Elephas maximus indicus: one gene and its partner. The protein of the gene in region 2 interacts with the protein of the main gene of each other region in a pairwise test. Links are inferred from orthologs where the notes say so. Each region holds a gene or a part of one and is shown on either strand. Other genes may lie near its edges.

Region 1 (8,386 bases), on a different chromosome or scaffold from region 2:
AACATTAGAAAAACAATTAAAGTAATCCATCACATAAATAAAACAAAAGATAAGAACCACATGATTTTATCAATTGATGCAGAAAAGGCATTTAACAAAGTTCAACAACGATTCATGATAAAAACTCTCAGCAAAATAGGAATAGAAGGAAAATTCCTCAACATAATAAAGGGCATTTATACAAAGCCAACAGCCAACATCATCCTAAATGGAGAAAGCCTGAAAGCATTCCCCTTGAGAATGGGAAGCCTACAAGGATGCCCTTTATTACTGCTCTTATTCAACATTGTGCTGGAGGTCCTAGCCAGAGAAATTAGGCTAGACAAAGAAATAAAGGGCCTCCAGATTGGCAAGGAAGAAGTAAAAGTATCTCTATTTGCAGATGACATGATCTTATACACAGAAAACCCTAAGGAATCCTCCAGAAAACTACTGAAACTAATAGAAGAGTTCAGCAGAGTATCAGGATTCAAGATAAACATACAAAAATCACTTGGATTCCTCTACACCAACAAAAAGAACATCAAAGAGGAAATCACCAAATCAATGCCATTTACAGTAGCCCCCAAGAAGATGAAAGAGTTAGGAATAAATCTTACCAGAGATGTAAAAGACTTATACAAAGAAAACTGCAATACACCTGCAAGAAACCAAAAGACAGCTATAAAAGTGGGAAAACATACCTTGCTCATGGATAGGAAGACTTAACATTATAAAAATGTCTATTCTACCAAAAGCAATCTATAGATACAACGCAATTCCGATCCAAATTCCAACGACATTCTTTAATGAGATGGGGAAACAAATTACCAAGTTCAGATGGAAGGGAAAGAGGCCCTGGATAAGTAAAGCATTACTGAAAAAGAAAAGCAAAGTGGGAGCCCTTACTCTACCTGATTTTAGAACCTATTATACCGCCACAGTAGTCAAAACAGCCTGGTCCGGGTACAACAACAGATGCATAGACCAGCGGAACACAATTGAGAATCCAGACATAAATCCGTCCATCCACATATGAGCAGTTGATATTTGACAAAGGCCCCAAAGCAGGTAAATGGGGAAAAGTCAGTCTTTGTAAGAAATGGTGCTGGCATAACTGGATATCCATCAGCAAAAAAAAAAAATGAAACAAGACCCATACCTCACTCCATGCGCAGAAAAATCGCAGAAACGAGCTCAAAATGCATCAAAGACCTGAATATCAAATCTAAAATGATCAAGATCATGGAAGAGAAAATAGGAACAACTTTAGGAGCCCAAATACATGGCATAAACAGTATATAAAACATTACTAACAATGCAGAACAAAAACTAGATAATCGGGAGCTCCTAAAAATCAAACACCTATGTTCATCTACGGACTTCACCAAAAGAGTAAAAAGATTACCTACAGACTGGGAAAAAGTTTTTAGCTATGACATTTCTGATCAGTGCCTGATCTGTAAAATCTACAGGATACTGTAAAAACTCAACTACAAAAAGACAAATAACCCAGTTAAAAAATGGGCAAAAGATATGAACAGACAGTTCACTAAAGAAGACATTCAGGTAGCTAACAGATACATGAGGAAATGCCCAAGATCATTAGCCATTAGAGAAATGCAAATTAAAACTACAATGAGATTCCACCTCACTCCAACAAGGCTGGCATTAATCCAAAAAACACAAAACAATAAATGTTGGAGAGGCTGTGGAGAGATTGGAATACTTATACACTGCTGGTGGGAATGTCAAATGGTACAACCACTTTGGAAATGGATTTGGCACTTCCTCAAAAAGCTAGAAATAGAACTACCATACCATTCAGCAATCCCACTCCTTGGAATATAACCTAGAGAAATAAGAGCCTTTACAGGAACATATATATGCACACCCATGTTCATTGCAGCACTGTTTACGATAGCAAAAAGATGGAAGCAACCAAGGTGCCCATTAACAGATGAATGGATAAATAAATTATGGTCTATTCACACAATGGAATACTATTCATCAATTAAGAACAGCGATGAATCTGTGAAACATTTCATAACATGGAGGAATCTGGAAGGCATTATGCTGAGTGAAATCAGTCAGTTGCAAAAGGACAAATATTGTATAAGACCACTATTATAAGAACTCAAAAAATAGTTTAAACAGAGAAGAGAATATTCTTTGATGGTTACGAGATGGAGGATGGAGGGAGGGTGGCAAGGCGGTACTCACTAATTAGATAGTAGATAAAAACTATTTTAGGTGATGAGAAAGACAACACACAATACAGGCAAGGTCAGCACAGCTGGACTAAATGAAAAACAAAGAAGTTTCCGGAATACACTGAATGCTCCGAAGGCCAGCATGGCAGGGGTTTGGGGACCATGGTTCCGGGTGACATCTAAGTCAACTGGCATAATAAAATCTATTAAGAAAACATTCTGCATCCCACCTTGGAGAGAGGTGTCTGGGTCTTAAACGCTAGCAAGCGGCCATCTAAGATCCATCTATTGGTCTCAATCCATCTGGGTCAAAGGAGAAGAAGAACACCAAGGACACAAGGTAATTATGAGCCCAAGAGACAGAAAGGGCCACATAAACCAGAGACTACATCAGCCTGAGACCACAAGAGCTAGGTGGTGCCCGGCTACAACCAATGACTGCCCTGACAGGGAACGCAACAGAGAGCCCCTGAGGGAGCAGGAGAGCAGTGGGATGCAGACCCCAAATTCTCGCAAAAAGACCAGACTTAATGGTCTGACTGAGACTAGAGGAACCCCAGTGGCCACGGCCCCCAGCCCTGCTGTTGGCCCAGGAGAGGAACCATTCCTGAAGCCAGCTCTTCAGACATGGATTTGACTGGACAACGGGTTGGAGAGGGATGCTGGTGAGGAGTGAGCTTCCTGGATCAGGTGGACACTTTAGACTATGTGGGCATCTCGTGCCTGGAGGTGAGATGAGAGGGTGGAGGGGGTTAGAAGCTGGTGAAATGGACACGAAAAGAGAGAGTGGAGGGAGAGAGCCGGCTGTCTCATTAGGGGGAGATTAACTGGGAGTATGTAGCAAGGTGTATATAACTTTTTGTGTGAGAGACTGACTTGATTCATAAACTTTCACTTAAAGCACAATAAAAATTAAAAAAAAAAAGATTATTTCAGAAATAGATCATTTCAAAGAGAGAGAGAGAATGAGAATCAGCGCTGCCTCCCCCATGCTGGAGGTGAATTTTGTAGAGATTTGATGCCATCCAAGGCCCCCCTCCCCTCCCCCATCACACTGGAGGACAGAGGCTGACAGAGCCACGGCCAGGAAAATTCCCGAAGTGCCCATGTGGGCAGCTGAGCTGTGGGGAGGTGCTGAGTGGGAGGACGTCTTTGAGGGGAAAAACCCAACCAGCAACCAGCAACCAGCAACCTACTCACCGGAGGTCTCTTCCAGACGAACTGGACGGGGAACTTCTGGCTATAAAAGAGAGAGGTCTCATCCGGTGGGAACTCAGGATCCAGATACAGAACGTTCTTTTCTAGACATTTCTTGTGTAGCTGCTCAAATGTCTTCTCTTTCACTCCGATAATCGGAAAATTGCGGCTGATGATGGCCGAATAGATGCCGCTTGAATTTCCACCCCCAGCCTCGGTGGTCTTGCCCTGGGCTGGGTGGAGGATTGGTCCCGGGGACCTGGGCTCAGCCCCAGTCCGTGGGGCCACAGACGCGCTGATGACAGTTGGCATGGCAGGCAACTTGGGAAGGAAAGGTTTTTTTTTTTTTTACAGAAAACAAGATACAGCTACCTCCAAGGGAAGGAAGCTGCTGCAAAGGGGAAGTTGAAGTGATTCTGTCATCTGAGAGAAAGATGTCCACATCCAGTTCAAAGTTCAAAGCCCATCAGAAGGTCGTCCAGCTTATATCCAGCTTGAAAACAGATTCTTCCTGAGGAAGGGGCAATAAAGGATTTCTGAAGCAATTTTTATCTGGGGGGCTCTTACCAGCAGCATGCATGCCAGAGGGAGAGAAAGAGAGTGAGGGTTGTGTTTCAGTGGCCTGAAGATGCTTGAGCCAGGAAAACTAAAAATAGACATGAAGGAAGAGTGTGAGCATGAGAGCGAGAGGGGCTAGCTTGCGGCTGGCTACAGGGCAGAGAGAAGGCCTGGCTAGGGACGTTTCTGTGCTGTCATTAGGTACTGGTGTTGTCAGGAACTGAAAGGGGATATCTGAGTACCTTGAAGTTTGAAAATCAGCAAAGAACTGCTGGTGTGTTATTGAATAGGCAGTTATACAGACTATCAGATTACTGGCTGCCAAATTAATGGAAAGTAGTATTGAAAAGGGTGAATGTAAGATACTGAATTCAGAGGAATATTCTCAACTTTTTTTTTTTTTTGCAATTTGACAATATATATTAATCAAATCCATCTTGTATACCATATCCTTCAAAAACACTCGTACATGTACACAAGGTAACACTTACAAGGCTGTTCATTGCTGCATTTGTAAGAGAGAAATGAAATCAAGGTGTTGGCCAGGCTGCGTTCCTTTCTGGAACTCAGGGTTCTTTTCTAAGATCACATGGTTGTTGGCAGAATTTAGCTCTTTCATGGTACGGGGCTGAAATCCTCATTTTCTTTCTTTTTAACAGTTTTATTGAGATATCATTCACATATGCAATTTGCCTATTTAAGGTGTGCAACTCAGTGGTTTTTAGTATATTTACAGACATGTGCAACCATCACCACAGTCAATTTTAGAACATTTTCATCGCCTTAAGAAACCCCATATCCTTTAGCTATCACCCGCCTATCATGCTACTCACCCCCGCCCCCACCAAACAACCACTAACCTATCTCCTGTCTCTACAGATGTCCCTTGCTAGGCATTTTTGAGAGCATGGGTTTTACTTTCCAAAACTCTAGGATCTCAGAACATTGTTCAATATTGAATTTGGCATCTCTTCTAGAATGTTCTTGTGCCAGCATTCAGCGGAATTTATCTGGGTAGAAATACCACTCGGCCGAGTCCTTGGATAGGAAACATCCCTGCATCTCCTCTCATCCACTTGACCTAGCCACATCTTATCTCTCCCCACCCCCAAAATAAACACTGGGGCCAAATACACCAAATACACAGGATATACATTGAGTATTCAGGCATCCCACATAGGCATTTGACCCAGAAACTGTAACTACACTGGCCATCAAGACCAGCAGGTCATACCGTGAGGAGTTGGTTTCAGGGCTCTCAGATGGCAGCATAAGTGGCTCTGAGGAAGAGAATCGCCCACCTGACCTCTGCCTTGGGTTCTACTATGGGCAGCTGCTCTGTGGGATGTAAGGAGTTGGCCCCATTCCAAGTCTGGCTGACCAGAGGCTTGTTTCCAGACCACAGCCATGCCTGCTCCCTGGTGACATCTCACAGGCCAAGGTTAGAGGCTGTGGGAGAAGGCAGGAAGTAACAGCAGAAGTAGGCAGTAGCGCCAGGTTCGTGATCCTTGGGGTTGCAGCCTTGAGGAAGCCCGTGCCTAGGGCTTGTAGGAACTGCCAGTGTACCCTCCTAGCCCTCTGTGAAAATGCCCAAGGGCTTTTACCTCTCTTGGAGAGGCAGAATAGAAGGCTGACTTCTTAGGTTCAAAGTCTGGGTCTGCCGCTTACTGGCTGTGCCTGTGTAACTTTGGGCGAGTTACTTCTTCCTTTCTAGGTATATCTTAGTTTTCTCCCCTATAAAATGCGTATAGTGATAGTCATTCCGTTATTGGGTTGTTGTAAGGATTAAACAACTTAATTTATGTAAATCATAGTGCCTGGATTGTCTTACCAAAAACCCTGTTGACATCGAGTTGATTCCGACTCATAGCGGCCCGATAGGACAGAGTGGAACTGCCCCATAGGGTTTCCAAGGAGAGGCTGGTGGATTTGAACTGCCAATCTTTTGATTAGCAGCCAAGCTCTTAACCACTGCGCCACCAGGGCTCCAGATTGTCTTAAGCACTCCATAAAAGTTGTTGGAGAAAACTTGAATTTAACATTACATCGGATTAGATCAGACAGAACGATACATTCACACCCCGATGCAAATCAGCACCCACTCTAAGCGCTTACTGCACGTCTCCCAGGAGTCCAGGGTAGGGACGGGCTCAATGTGTCCAGGCCCATGTGTAGACAGCACCTTTATCAGAGGCTTGCCTACCTGCCTGAACTAAGACAGCGTCTCACTGACTGACTTCCACCCCCAACTCACCAGTGGCATGAACGGCAAAGCTGGGGTTCCTTCTCCCAGCAGCCCAGTGCTCTCTTGTTGTTGTTGTTGGCTGCTGTTGAGTTGGCCTCCGACTCCGGGTGACTCCATAGACAAAGAAATGGAACATCGCCCAGTCACCTGCCATCCCCATGACTGGTTGCAGATCAGACTGTTGTAATCCAAAGGGTTTTCACTGGCTGATTTTCAGAAGTAGATTGCCAGGTCTTTCTTCCTAGTCTGGAAGCTCTGCTGAAACCTGTTCAGCATCATAGCAACATGCAAACCTCCACTGACAGACAGGTGATGCCTCTGCATGAGGCGCATTGGCCGGGAACGGAACCCCAGCGTCCCGTGTGGAAGGTGAGAACTCTACCACTGAAGGCCCAGCAGCTGCCCCCAGTGCTCTGTTGTTGTTGCTAGGTGCTGTCAAGTCGACTCCAACTCATAGGTCTGGGTCTCTGTACCGCCCTGAAATTCACAACACTTACCCACGTTTTATTGTTTCTGCTTATTTAACACCCACAAGACTGTAAGCTCTGTGAAGGTGGGGGCTAGACCCCTATTTCATCCCCAGGGTTAAGCGTATAAAAAAAAAAAAAAGCGTATAGAAGGTCCTTAATCAGTATGTGTTGTATTTCTGTTGAATGAAATTTTCCTAAGTGAGGAGAAATTTCTTACACTTCTTATTGTTTTGCCAATGCAATCAAAGTTTCTCGGCTGATTTGACCCCTAGGGGAGGAACTGTCTCTGGGCTACATGCATGCTGATCTCTCTTTCCTTGGCTGCTGAAGCCAACTCCACCTGTCAGTAACTGAGTGTGAGGTAGGGATGAGCCTCTTGTCACTGCAGGGTAGGAACATCAAATATATAGAGTACAAGACGCTGTTCATTTTGGTCTATCAATTGTTGTGGCTAAAAACCCCCTCAGATTAGCAGGTCCAAGTCCAAGGTTTATTCAGCTGCAGAGCTGGGGAAACTCGTGATATCAGGGAGAAATCCAGTCTGAGCCCATGAAGGAAGACTGGCTAATGAGCATCTGAACAGATAATGAGCATATAAACAGCTGCACATTTCAATTCCCAGAAGCCTCCTCAAGTGTAAAGACCTAGTTTTATAAAATATTTCAGCCAAGGTCATGCAACAGCTGTGGCTGGAATGGTTTCTGTTGCACCAACAAGGCCAACTAATGGCTCCATGTCAGTGACTTTGCCATCAGTAAGTATTTCTTTGATTCAACACTATGCTGTTCATAATTACAACATTTGCCATTTATTAGGAGCCCTGGTGGCACAGTGGCTAAGAGCTCAGGCTGCCAACCAAAAGGTCGGCCGTTTGAATCCACCACCTTGGAAACCCCGTGGGGCAGTTCTACTCTGTCCTATAGGGTTGCTACGAGTTGGACTCGACTTGATGGCAACGGGTTAACGGGTTACCATTTATTAAGTGCCTACTGTGAGCTAGCCATTTCACACAGAGTACTTTTTAAAACTTTATATTTTTAAATAATTTTAGGCTTACAGAAGAGTTGCAAAGATAGTACTGAGTTCCTTTATATCATTCACCTGGCTTATAGAATCATGGTACAATGATCAAAGCTAAGAAATTAATATTGGTACAATACTATTAACTAAATTACAAGACTTTATTCTGAATTCTCCTGTTTTCCCATTATGTCCTCTTTCTTTTTTCTTCAATTTTCTTTATTTTGTTGTTGTTGAGAATATACAGAGCAAATTTATACACCAATTCAACAGTTTTTACATGTACCATTTAGTGACATTGATTACATTCTTTGAGTTGTGCAGCCATTCTCACCCTCATTTTCTGAGTTGTTCCTTCCCCATTAACATAAATTCACTGCCCCCTAAGGTTCCTATCTCATCTTTCAAGTTGCTGTTGTCAATTGGATCCCATACAGATGGTTCTTAAAAGAGCATAATGTTCAAGGCAGACCTTTTTTACTAGTTAAGCTGAGCTGTTGTTTGTTTTAAAAAAGACTTCAGGGAACATTTTTGGTTTAAGGTTTAAAGATTATCTCAGGACAATAGTTTCAGGAGTTCATGGACTCTCCATGGTTCTAGAAAGTCTAAAGTCCATTAAAATGTGAAATTCTGTTCTACATTTTTTCCCCTTTTGATGAGGATTCTCCTATGGAATCTTTGATCAAAATGTTTAGTAATGACAG
Region 2 (9,148 bases):
TAGATGGTCTCTTGTTAGCATTTAAGACCCCAGACGCCACATTTCAAAGTGGGATGCAGAATGTTTTCATAATAGAATTATTTTGCCAATTGACTTAGAAGTCCCCTTAAACCACAGTCCCCAAACCCCCGCCCTTGCTCCGCTGACGTTTGAAGCATTCAGTTTATCCCGGAAACTTCTTTGCTTTTGGTCCAGTCCAGTTGAGCTGACCTTCCATGTATTGAGTATTGTCCTTCCCTTCACCTAAAGTAGTTCTTATCTACTAACGAATCAGTAAATAACCCTCTCCCACTCTCCCTCCCTCCCCGCCTTGTAACCACGAAAGTATGTGTTCTTTTCAGTTTATACTATTTCTCAAGATCTTATAATAGTGGTCTTATACAATATTTGTCCTTTTGCCTCTGACTAATTTTGCTCAGCATAATGCCTTCCAGGTTCCTCCATGTTATGAAATGCTTCACAGATTCATTACTGTTCTTTATCGATGCATAATATTCCATTGTGTGAATATACCACAATTTATTTAACCATTCATCTGTTGATGGACACCTTGGTTGCTTCCAGCTTTTTGCTATTGTAAACAGAGCTGCGATAAACATGGGTGTGCATATATCCGTTCATGTGAAGGCACTTATTTCTCTAGGGTATATTCCGAGGAGCAGGATTTCTGGGTTGTATGGTAGTTCTATTTCTAACTGTTTAAGATAATGCCAGATAGATTTCCAAAGTGGTTGTACCATTTTACATTCCCACCAGCAGTGTATAAGAGTTCCAATCTCTCTGCAGCCTCTCCAACATTTATTATTTTGTGTTTTTTGGATTAATGCCAGTCTAGTTGGTGTGAGATGGAATCTCATCGTAGTTTTAATTTGCATTTCTCTAATGGCTAATGATCGAGAGCATTTTCTCATGTATCTGTTAGCTGCCTGAATATCTTCTTTAGTGAAGTGCGTGTTCATATCCTTTGCCCACTTCTTGATTGGGTTGTTTGTCTTTTTGCGGTTGAGTTTTGACAGAACCACATAGATTTTAGAGATCAGGTGCTGGTCGGAGATGTCATTGCTGAAAATTCTTTCCCAGTCTGTAGGTGGTCTTTTTACTCTTTTGGTGAAGTCTTTAGATGACCATAGGTGTTTGATTTTTAGGAGCTCCCAGTTATCTGGTTTCTCTTTGTCATTTTTGGTAATGTTTTGTATTCTGTTTATGCCTTGTATTAGGGCTCCTAAGGTTGTCTCTATTTTTTCTTCCATGATCTTTATCATTTTAGTCTTTATGTTTAGGTCTTTGATCCACTTGGAGTTAGTTTTTGTGCATGGTGTGAGGTATGGGTCCTGTTTCATTTTTTTGCAAATGGATATCCAGTTATGCCAGCACCATTTGTTAAAAAGACTATCTTTTCCCCAATTAACTGACACTGGGCCTTTGTTAAATATCAGCTGCTCATATATGGATGGATTTATATCTGGGTTCTCAATTCTGTTCCATTGGTCTATGTGCCTGTTGTTGTACCAGTACCAGGCTGTTTTGACTACTGTGGCTGTATAATAGGTTCTGAAATCAGGTAGAGTGAGGCCTCCCACTTTCTTTTTCTTTTTCAGTAATGCTTTACTTATCCGAGGCTTCTTTCCCTTCCATATGAAGTTGGTGATTTGTTTCTCCATCACATTAAAAAATGACATTGGAATTTGGATCGGAAGTGCATTGCATGTATAGATGGCTTTTGGTAGAATAGACATTTTTACTATGTTAAGTCTTCCTATCCATGAGCAAGGTATGTTTTTCCACTTAAGTAGGTCCTTTTTAGTTTCTTGTAGTAGTACTTTGTAGTTTTCTTTGTATAGGTCTTCTACATCTTTGGTAAGATTTATTCCTAAGTATTTTATCTTCTTGGGGGCTACTGTGAATGGTATTGATTTGGTGATTTCCTCTTCGATGTTCTTTTTGTTGATGTAGAGGAATCCAAGTGATTTTTGTATGTTTATCTTATAACCTGAGACTCTGCCAAACTCTTCTATTAGTTTCAGTAGTTTTCTGGAGGATTCCTTAGGGTTTTCTGTGTATAAGATCATGTCATCTGCAAATAGAGATAATTTTACTTCCTCCTTGCCAATCCAGATGCCCTTTATTTCTTTGTGTAGCCTAATTGCTCTGGCTAGGACCTCTAGCACAATGTTGAATAAGAGCGGTGATAAAGGGCATCCTTGTCTGGTTCCCGTTCTCAAGGGAAATGCTTTCAGGCTCTCTCCATTTAGAGTGATGTTGGCTGTTGGCTTTGTATAGATGCCCTTTATTATGTTCAGAAATTTTCCTTCCATTCCTATTTTGCTGAGAGTTTTTATCATAAATGGGTGTTGGACTTTGTCAAATGCCTTTTCTGCATCAATTGATAAGATCATGTGGTTTTTGTCTTTTGTTTTATTTATATGGTGGATTACATTAATGGTTTTTCTAATATTAAACCAGCCTTGCATACCTGGTATAAATCCCACTTGGTCATGGCGGATTATTTTTTTGATATGTTGTTGAATTCTCTTGGCAACGGCGGGAACTTTTGAACTCCAAGTCAAGTGCTCCCTCCCAGCACCACCAGGATGCCACAGTCATGAGGTCACACAGTCCAGGACCGACCCATCGATCACTTCCTGTGCAGAAAAGCTGCCCAGGAGCCCTGATCCCTGAGAGCTCTCCCACCATGGAGTAGACCCGCTGAAAACGCACAGAATATAATGTGAAAGCTTCACACTTTTCCATTTCTTTCCCACTTTTACGGTTTATGAAGTTGGAAGCATCCATTTTTAATTTTAACTTCTGAAGTCCCTCTGAAGATGGAAAATGTTACTGGAAAAAAGTTAAAAATCGACTATTCGAAATTCACAAAACCAAGTAAGCATAAAGCAAATGGAAATAATGACAGCTTTACGTGATGTTGCGTTTGCGTTTGTGGCATTGACGATCCAGAGGCCATCAGAGCTTAAAACTGCACCAAGACGGGGACAGCTGTATTGGCTGCACTTGCTGCACACTCTGGCCCTCAGACCATCTGACTTTGAGGACAGCCCTGCCAGGCGCGTTTTCTTGTGCCAATTGCACGGTCGGGAAAACCGAGGTGAGAGGCGCCCTGCCCAGGGCCGCCCAAGAACGTCTGAGTCCACGCCATGAGCACAAATCTTAGTTCTGCCCTCGTACCTGTGCGACCCTGGCAGAGTCCCTGGACCTCTGTCAGTAAGAAGCGCGATCACAAAGACACCGAGAAACACCACGCCCCCGGGGCGCGGGCTGGACCGGGCTGTGAGCCTGGTGCAGCAGGGCCTCCCCTAGCGCCCCGGTGCCACCTCCCTCCCAGGCGACCCCACCAAGACCCCAGGGTCTCCCTGGGCCCCCAGCCCTCCAGCCCAGCACCATTGAGCCTGCTGTGGGAAGCTAGTCCCTGGGGTCTCCATGCTTGGCTGAGGGTCGGTACAGTGAGCTCGGTCCGGCGGGCGGCTGGACCCAGCGGGTTCGGCAGGGTGCTGGAGGCCACGCCTCCTTCCCTCCTGGAGCGCGGTCCAGGGTCGGGCGGTCACGTGCCCCGGGCGGGTGGGCAGCAGGGCAGTGGCTGGATCCGGGCACTCACCAACTAGGGGTGACCCTGGCAGGGGGAGACGCGGGCCGGGCTGGGTGGGGGGGCCCGGGGCTTCGGGACCTCCTGGGAGTCCCGCCCGGTTCCAGGGCCTGCAGACCCGGACCCAGCTGGCCACCCCTCCTCCAGGCCTGGCCGGGGTCACTCACCTGATGGGCAGCTGGTGGAGGTGGCCGGCGAGCCTAGCCGGCGGTGCACGAGAAACTGGGGTCACAGCGCCCGCTGCGGGAGCGGGACACCCGTCGCCTGTGGGGACTTGAGAGGCAGTGAGCGGCGAGGGGGAAGCGAGGGTATTTCACCGAGCGGCGGCGGGCGGGGCCGGGCAGTTACTTTCATAAGCGTGACTCAGCAGGCCCTGGATGAATGAACTTGTACACCCGGGGCGGGTGCACGCTGCGAGCCAGGGCGGCCTTGAAGGGGCCCCGGGGCGGGCACCTGCCTCCCACCAGCCGGGCCCCGCGCTGGCTCTCTCATTCCACTCAGATTCCACCCCAGGCGCCTCTTCCCCACCCCAGCCCCCAGCCTGCCCAGGCTGCAAGTCCCCCTCTGCACCTACTGGCTGGGGGAGGCTGGGCAAACTGCTCATGGCCGACCCTCAGTTTCCTCATCTGAAAAATGGGGCTAAGGAACAGCCTCTCCTGCCTGTGGTGGGTATAGGCTTAAATGACACCACTTGTCTCCCTCCCATGCTGACCACAGGAAGCCCCTCCCAGTTTAGATCCCATTTTCTTCCTTACGTTTCTTCTTTAGCAGGTATCCCTTCGCACCTCACACATTGCTGGTTATTAGTTAGTCTTGTTCTTGTCTCTGTCCCTAAACCAGAATGTGGGCACAGTGTGGGCAGGGAGTTATGTCTCCTGTGTCTAGAATAGTGCCACACACAATAGTGGGCACTCAAATTTTGTTGAAAGGAAGGAAGGAAGGTAGAGCAGAGTCTGGTCCATAGGGCTCAGGACCTATTAGCTATTATTTCCATTACTGATGCTACTGTCTCCTCATCACCACTTTAGGCCTGGGGGCACCCCTGACAGCCCTGTTCTGCTGTGTGGCAGTGGGGGCCACCAGTGCTGGAACCAGGGTGGGGCAGGTAAGGCACTCACCTGGGGCACAAAATTTAAGGGTCTGTCAAAAAAAACTCAGTAACCAAGAAAATAGTATTTTAAAGCAATTTGTTTGAAAAATCAAAATTAATGTAAAAAAATCCACGGTGAATGAAATATCAACGTTTAAGATAAACACAGGATTCAAGACAGTCCCAACCCAAGTCATATTAGATCCAGAGTCAAAAGGAAAAATCAGGAATACTGATGCTGTCTTCACTGAAAATTGTGGTATTCTCTTCATCATAGATGTTTTGCATTCATTTCGGTTGTTTAAAAAATTGCATTCATGCATTATGTGTCCTGATTATGGAGTGTTTTGGACCCCTTAAATGTTGTGCCTGAGACAAGCATCCCACTCCCCTCACCCTAGCCTGGCCCTGGCCCTGGTGGCCACAGGGGACCCGGGCCGTGCCCTGGAAGAGCACAGGAGTCCGAGGTTTCATTTCACATCCAGCTCTGCAATCACGTGGCCCAAATGGGCTCAGCCCCTTCCAGGCTGGCTGAGCTCCCGGGAGATACGCCCCCTCGGAACCTCAGTTTTACCCATGTGAAAATGGGCATGCATAATCCCTTCCTCCTGTGGTCATGGGCAGTGATGACCCAGTGGGGGGTCATATGACACAGCCTGTGGCCTATGGCAGAGGGACATCTGCCCTCTGTTCCAGGCCTCAGCTCCCGGCTTCTAGACCCACTGCAGGTGTGCTGTGTGACCTTGGGGGGTGGCCTCCCTCTCTGGGCCTCTGTCCCAGCTGTGGCCTTCGTGACACCCTTGGAGCCCAGCAATGACCAGTGAGGGCCCGAGGCCAGCAGCTCTGGCACGTACCTCTTGTTCACACGCCATTGTCCCCTAGCAGCTGCCTCTCTGTCTCCACTTCCCCATCCCAAGGTGCTCCGCCTGCAACTTCCCCGTTTTCAGATATGTAAACTGAGGCAGAGAGAGACACACACCCAGGGTCAGAGACTGAGGGTGAGGCTGTAGGGGCCAGGATGGCAGGGTCCGCAGAGGAGAGATCGAGAAGGAGGCCAGCTTCCCAGAACCCTGTCTCCTGGGCCCTGCCCACCCCTTCTCCCCACAGCCTGCTGCCCCCGCTGGCCATGACCCCCCTTTCTAGATTTTGAAAAGTTGCTGATAACTGGGAATCATGGTGACACGTGGACTTTCTTCCCTGCCGCCTTGTTTACCAACCATGTGATTAGTGGAAATAGAATTTTTTTAGTTGTTTCTGGAAAGCTCCACTAAGACAAAGAGATAATGTGACAAACCATGAAGGGGCAATGGAGAGAGGGAGCCACGGAGACAGGAAGAACAGGCCTTTACAGGCTGTCCTGGGGGACGCATGCTCTTGGATCCCAATGAACACCCCTAACTCCCTTCCAACTGCCTGGCCCAGCTCATGGCCATAAGCTACTCGTACCTACTGAGCGTGGAAATGTGAGATGTGCTGGAGTATGGCTGACAGATTTAACAAGTAGAAATACAGGACACCCATGTGAATCTGAATTTCAGAGAAACGCCAGTTGATTTCTAGTATAAGTATATCCCATGCAATATTTGGCTATTAAAAAAAAAACAAAACCCATTGCTGTCAAGTTGGTTCTGAATCATAGCGACCCTATAGGACAGAGTAGAACTGCCCGATAGGGTTTCCAAGGAGTGCCTGGTGGATTCAAACTGCCGACCTTTTGGTTAGCAGTCAAGCTCTTAACTACTACCCCATCAGGGTTTCCTATTCGGATATATATATAAAACCCTATACTTATCCTAAAACAAGTCATCATTTATCTGAAATTCAAATTTAACTGGACAGTCTGTATTTTATCTGGCAGCCCTCGCTGGATTTTGAATACACACTGGATTTTGAAGAATTAGTTTTTTTATTAAGAAGAAGAAGGTAAAATATCTTATTCCTCTTTTTTTTTTTTTTTAACATGGATTACAAGACGTAATGAAAATATTTTGGATGTATTGGGTTAAATAAAATATGTTATTACAATTAACTTCACCACTTTATTTTGTTTGTTGAATGTGGCTATTAGAAAATGTAAAGTTACACAGTGACTGGCATTATACTTCAATGAGACAGCGAAGCTCTTGACCTTGGTGCCTGCTGGTGACATAAACCAGAACATTCCCAGGTCCAGCACTGAAAGTCCTGCCGTGTCCCAGGCAAAGCAGGATGGTTGGTCACCCTAGAGCACTGCAAGTGGATGGGCAGTGTAACCTGGGAGAGGTGCTTTCCTTCTGTGCCTCAGTTTCCCCATCTGCGCACTGACGCTGCTAGCAGGGAGCTTGCAGGTGACACACGGGAGAAGCTCGAACCCTGGCAGCCTGTTGTGCTTGGTATGGCAGCACCCCCCACCCCAGGGCCCTGCAGGATGCTCAGGAGCTGTGGAATGGATGGGAAAGGGTGGGGTGGCACAAAGAGCTTCCCTGGGGGTCTTGGTCCTGAGACAAAACCCCCTACCTTCCATCAAAACTGCACTTCCTGTCTCCCTAAGGAATCCCAGAATCATCCTAAGGGGCTGCTCCTGAGCCCTGCTCATCCGTTCTGTCCCTCTGGTCCTTGCCTTCTTTGTCCTCAGCCAGGGGCTCCCACAGATGCTGTCCTTTGCTGGGCACCTTCAGGGCCGGGCAGTGTGAACAGAGGATTCCTTACATCCAGATGAGGCTCAGAGAGGGTGATCTCGGGCCTGAGGTCACACAGTGGCCGAGCCAGGGCTTGAACCCAGGGATAAAGTCTGACAGACAAACGGTTACCTCCTTCCTGTCTCAGGAGCAAAGGCAGGGGTTGGGGACCCTGTCTACGTTCCCAGTGTCATGGTGGGCAGCCTGAAGACCCCGCCTACCACCACAGCTGCCCAGTCTTTACCAAGTGCCCGGTACTGAAAGCACGTTCCATGGACCAGCCAATGCACTGGATTTGCACAACGGTCCAGCGAGGAAGGTACAGCGCCATTACCCCATTCTACAGGTGAGTAAACAAGACGCAGCAAGTTAAGGCAGGCCCCAAGTTCACGGTGAGTGGCAACACTGGCAACACTTAGTTGTGCTGGGGCTCTGTCAGGAAGAGACCAGGCCAGTCCAGTACATGATACGCTAATATTTGTGCAGTGCCTCACTGTTTACAGAGCCTGGTTGTCTGCGTTATTTCATCGATTCTCCCGACAGCCCAGAGAGATGGGCAAATATTTTCAACAGCAATGTTTATTTTACAGATGAAGAAACCAAGGTTCAGAGAGGCCAACAAGTTTGCCCAAGGCCACCTGGAAATGAAGGGTGAGGGCACTCAGACTTTGGCCTGTCTGGAGGACAGAACCCAGAGCAGCAGGCGGGGCCTCCAGGGCTTGGCCTGGAGGGAGAGGAGAACGCTTGGCTTGGGTTTGTCCTGGGGTCTGGAATCACCGCAGACCCCTGGGGGAGATGCTGCAAAAGCTGAGAAGGACACACAGCCACACAGAGAGAACTGGGGTGGGGAGGGCCACAGAACAAAGGAGCCCAAGAGGGGTGCGGGGGTGGGGGGTGCGGAAGGGCATCTGCTCAGGGTGAGACAGGAGGCCCCAGCAGACACATGAGACATTCCTTGCTCCCCCAATTCCTCCTTCTTTTCCTTAAAATCCGTTGCCGTCAAGTCAACTCAGAGTCATAGAGACCCTATAGGACAGGGTAGAGCTGCCCCGTAGTGTTTCTAAGGCTGTAATCTTTAAGGGAGCAGATTTCCAGGTCTTTTCTCCCACGGAGCAGCTGGTGGGTTCAAACTGCTAACCTTTTGGTTAGCAGCCGAGAGCTTAACCACTGCACTACCAGGGCTCCCTTTTCCTTAAAAACCAGGGGAAAGTTCCCGCAGGAGAGGGAATATATCTGCCTCAGGGGCAGGGTAGACAGGATATGTAGAAGGTGTGTGAAAGGCTTCTCTTTGGAGGCAGACAAGCTGGGACTCTGGCTCCCTCACTTTCAGATGTGTGACTGTGGGCAAGTTACTTTACCTCTCTGAGCTCCACTTCCTTGTCTGTGAGATGGAGGTCACGACACCCACCTCTGGCAGAGCAGTGCTTCTCATCCCTGGCTGCATACTGGGATCATCCGTGGAGACTTAAAGAATATACTAACGCCCGGAGCCCCAGTCTTACAGATTCCGATGACATGGGTCAGGGATAGGGCCTCGGAGTCTGCATTTGCACCCCAGGTGCTTCCTGTGTGCAGCCTGGGCTGAGATCTTCTGTCCCTGTGGCCACTGGAGGATGAGCTGGTATCAACACAGAAATCACCTAGCCCATGAAGGGGCTCCAGGCCTTAGACCTCCCACCCCTGTCACCCCATTTTTCTGTAAACCTCCTTCCTTATACTGTTACAGGAACCGTGATGGGGACTAAGAGAGAAATACGTCTTCAGAGGAGCCAGGAGCGAGCTGGTGACCCTGGTGGGGGA

The links.
Region 1: the proteins of OSGIN1 (region 2) and CAPN3 interact in binary tests that used the Homo sapiens proteins (3 or more experiments, as listed by UniProt). The two-hybrid records come from large-scale screens. The link is inferred for Elephas maximus indicus from reciprocal best matches to the Homo sapiens genes OSGIN1 and CAPN3.

The regions. Positions count from the first base shown.
Region 1 is NC_064828.1:13,641,279-13,649,664, forward strand, and holds the start of CAPN3 (calpain-3), read right to left. Parts: upstream 3,719-8,386; 5' UTR 3,702-3,718; coding exon 3,393-3,701; intron 1-3,392. UniProt on the Homo sapiens protein: Calcium-regulated non-lysosomal thiol-protease. Proteolytically cleaves CTBP1 at 'His-409'. Mediates, with UTP25, the proteasome-independent degradation of p53/TP53.
Region 2 is NC_064839.1:49,938,212-49,947,359, reverse strand, and holds the start of OSGIN1 (oxidative stress-induced growth inhibitor 1), read right to left. Parts: upstream 3,904-9,148; 5' UTR 3,769-3,903; intron 1-3,768. UniProt on the Homo sapiens protein: Monooxygenase catalytic activity. Involved in regulation of cytokinesis; promotes RHOA activity, probably acting locally at the midbody in late cytokinesis.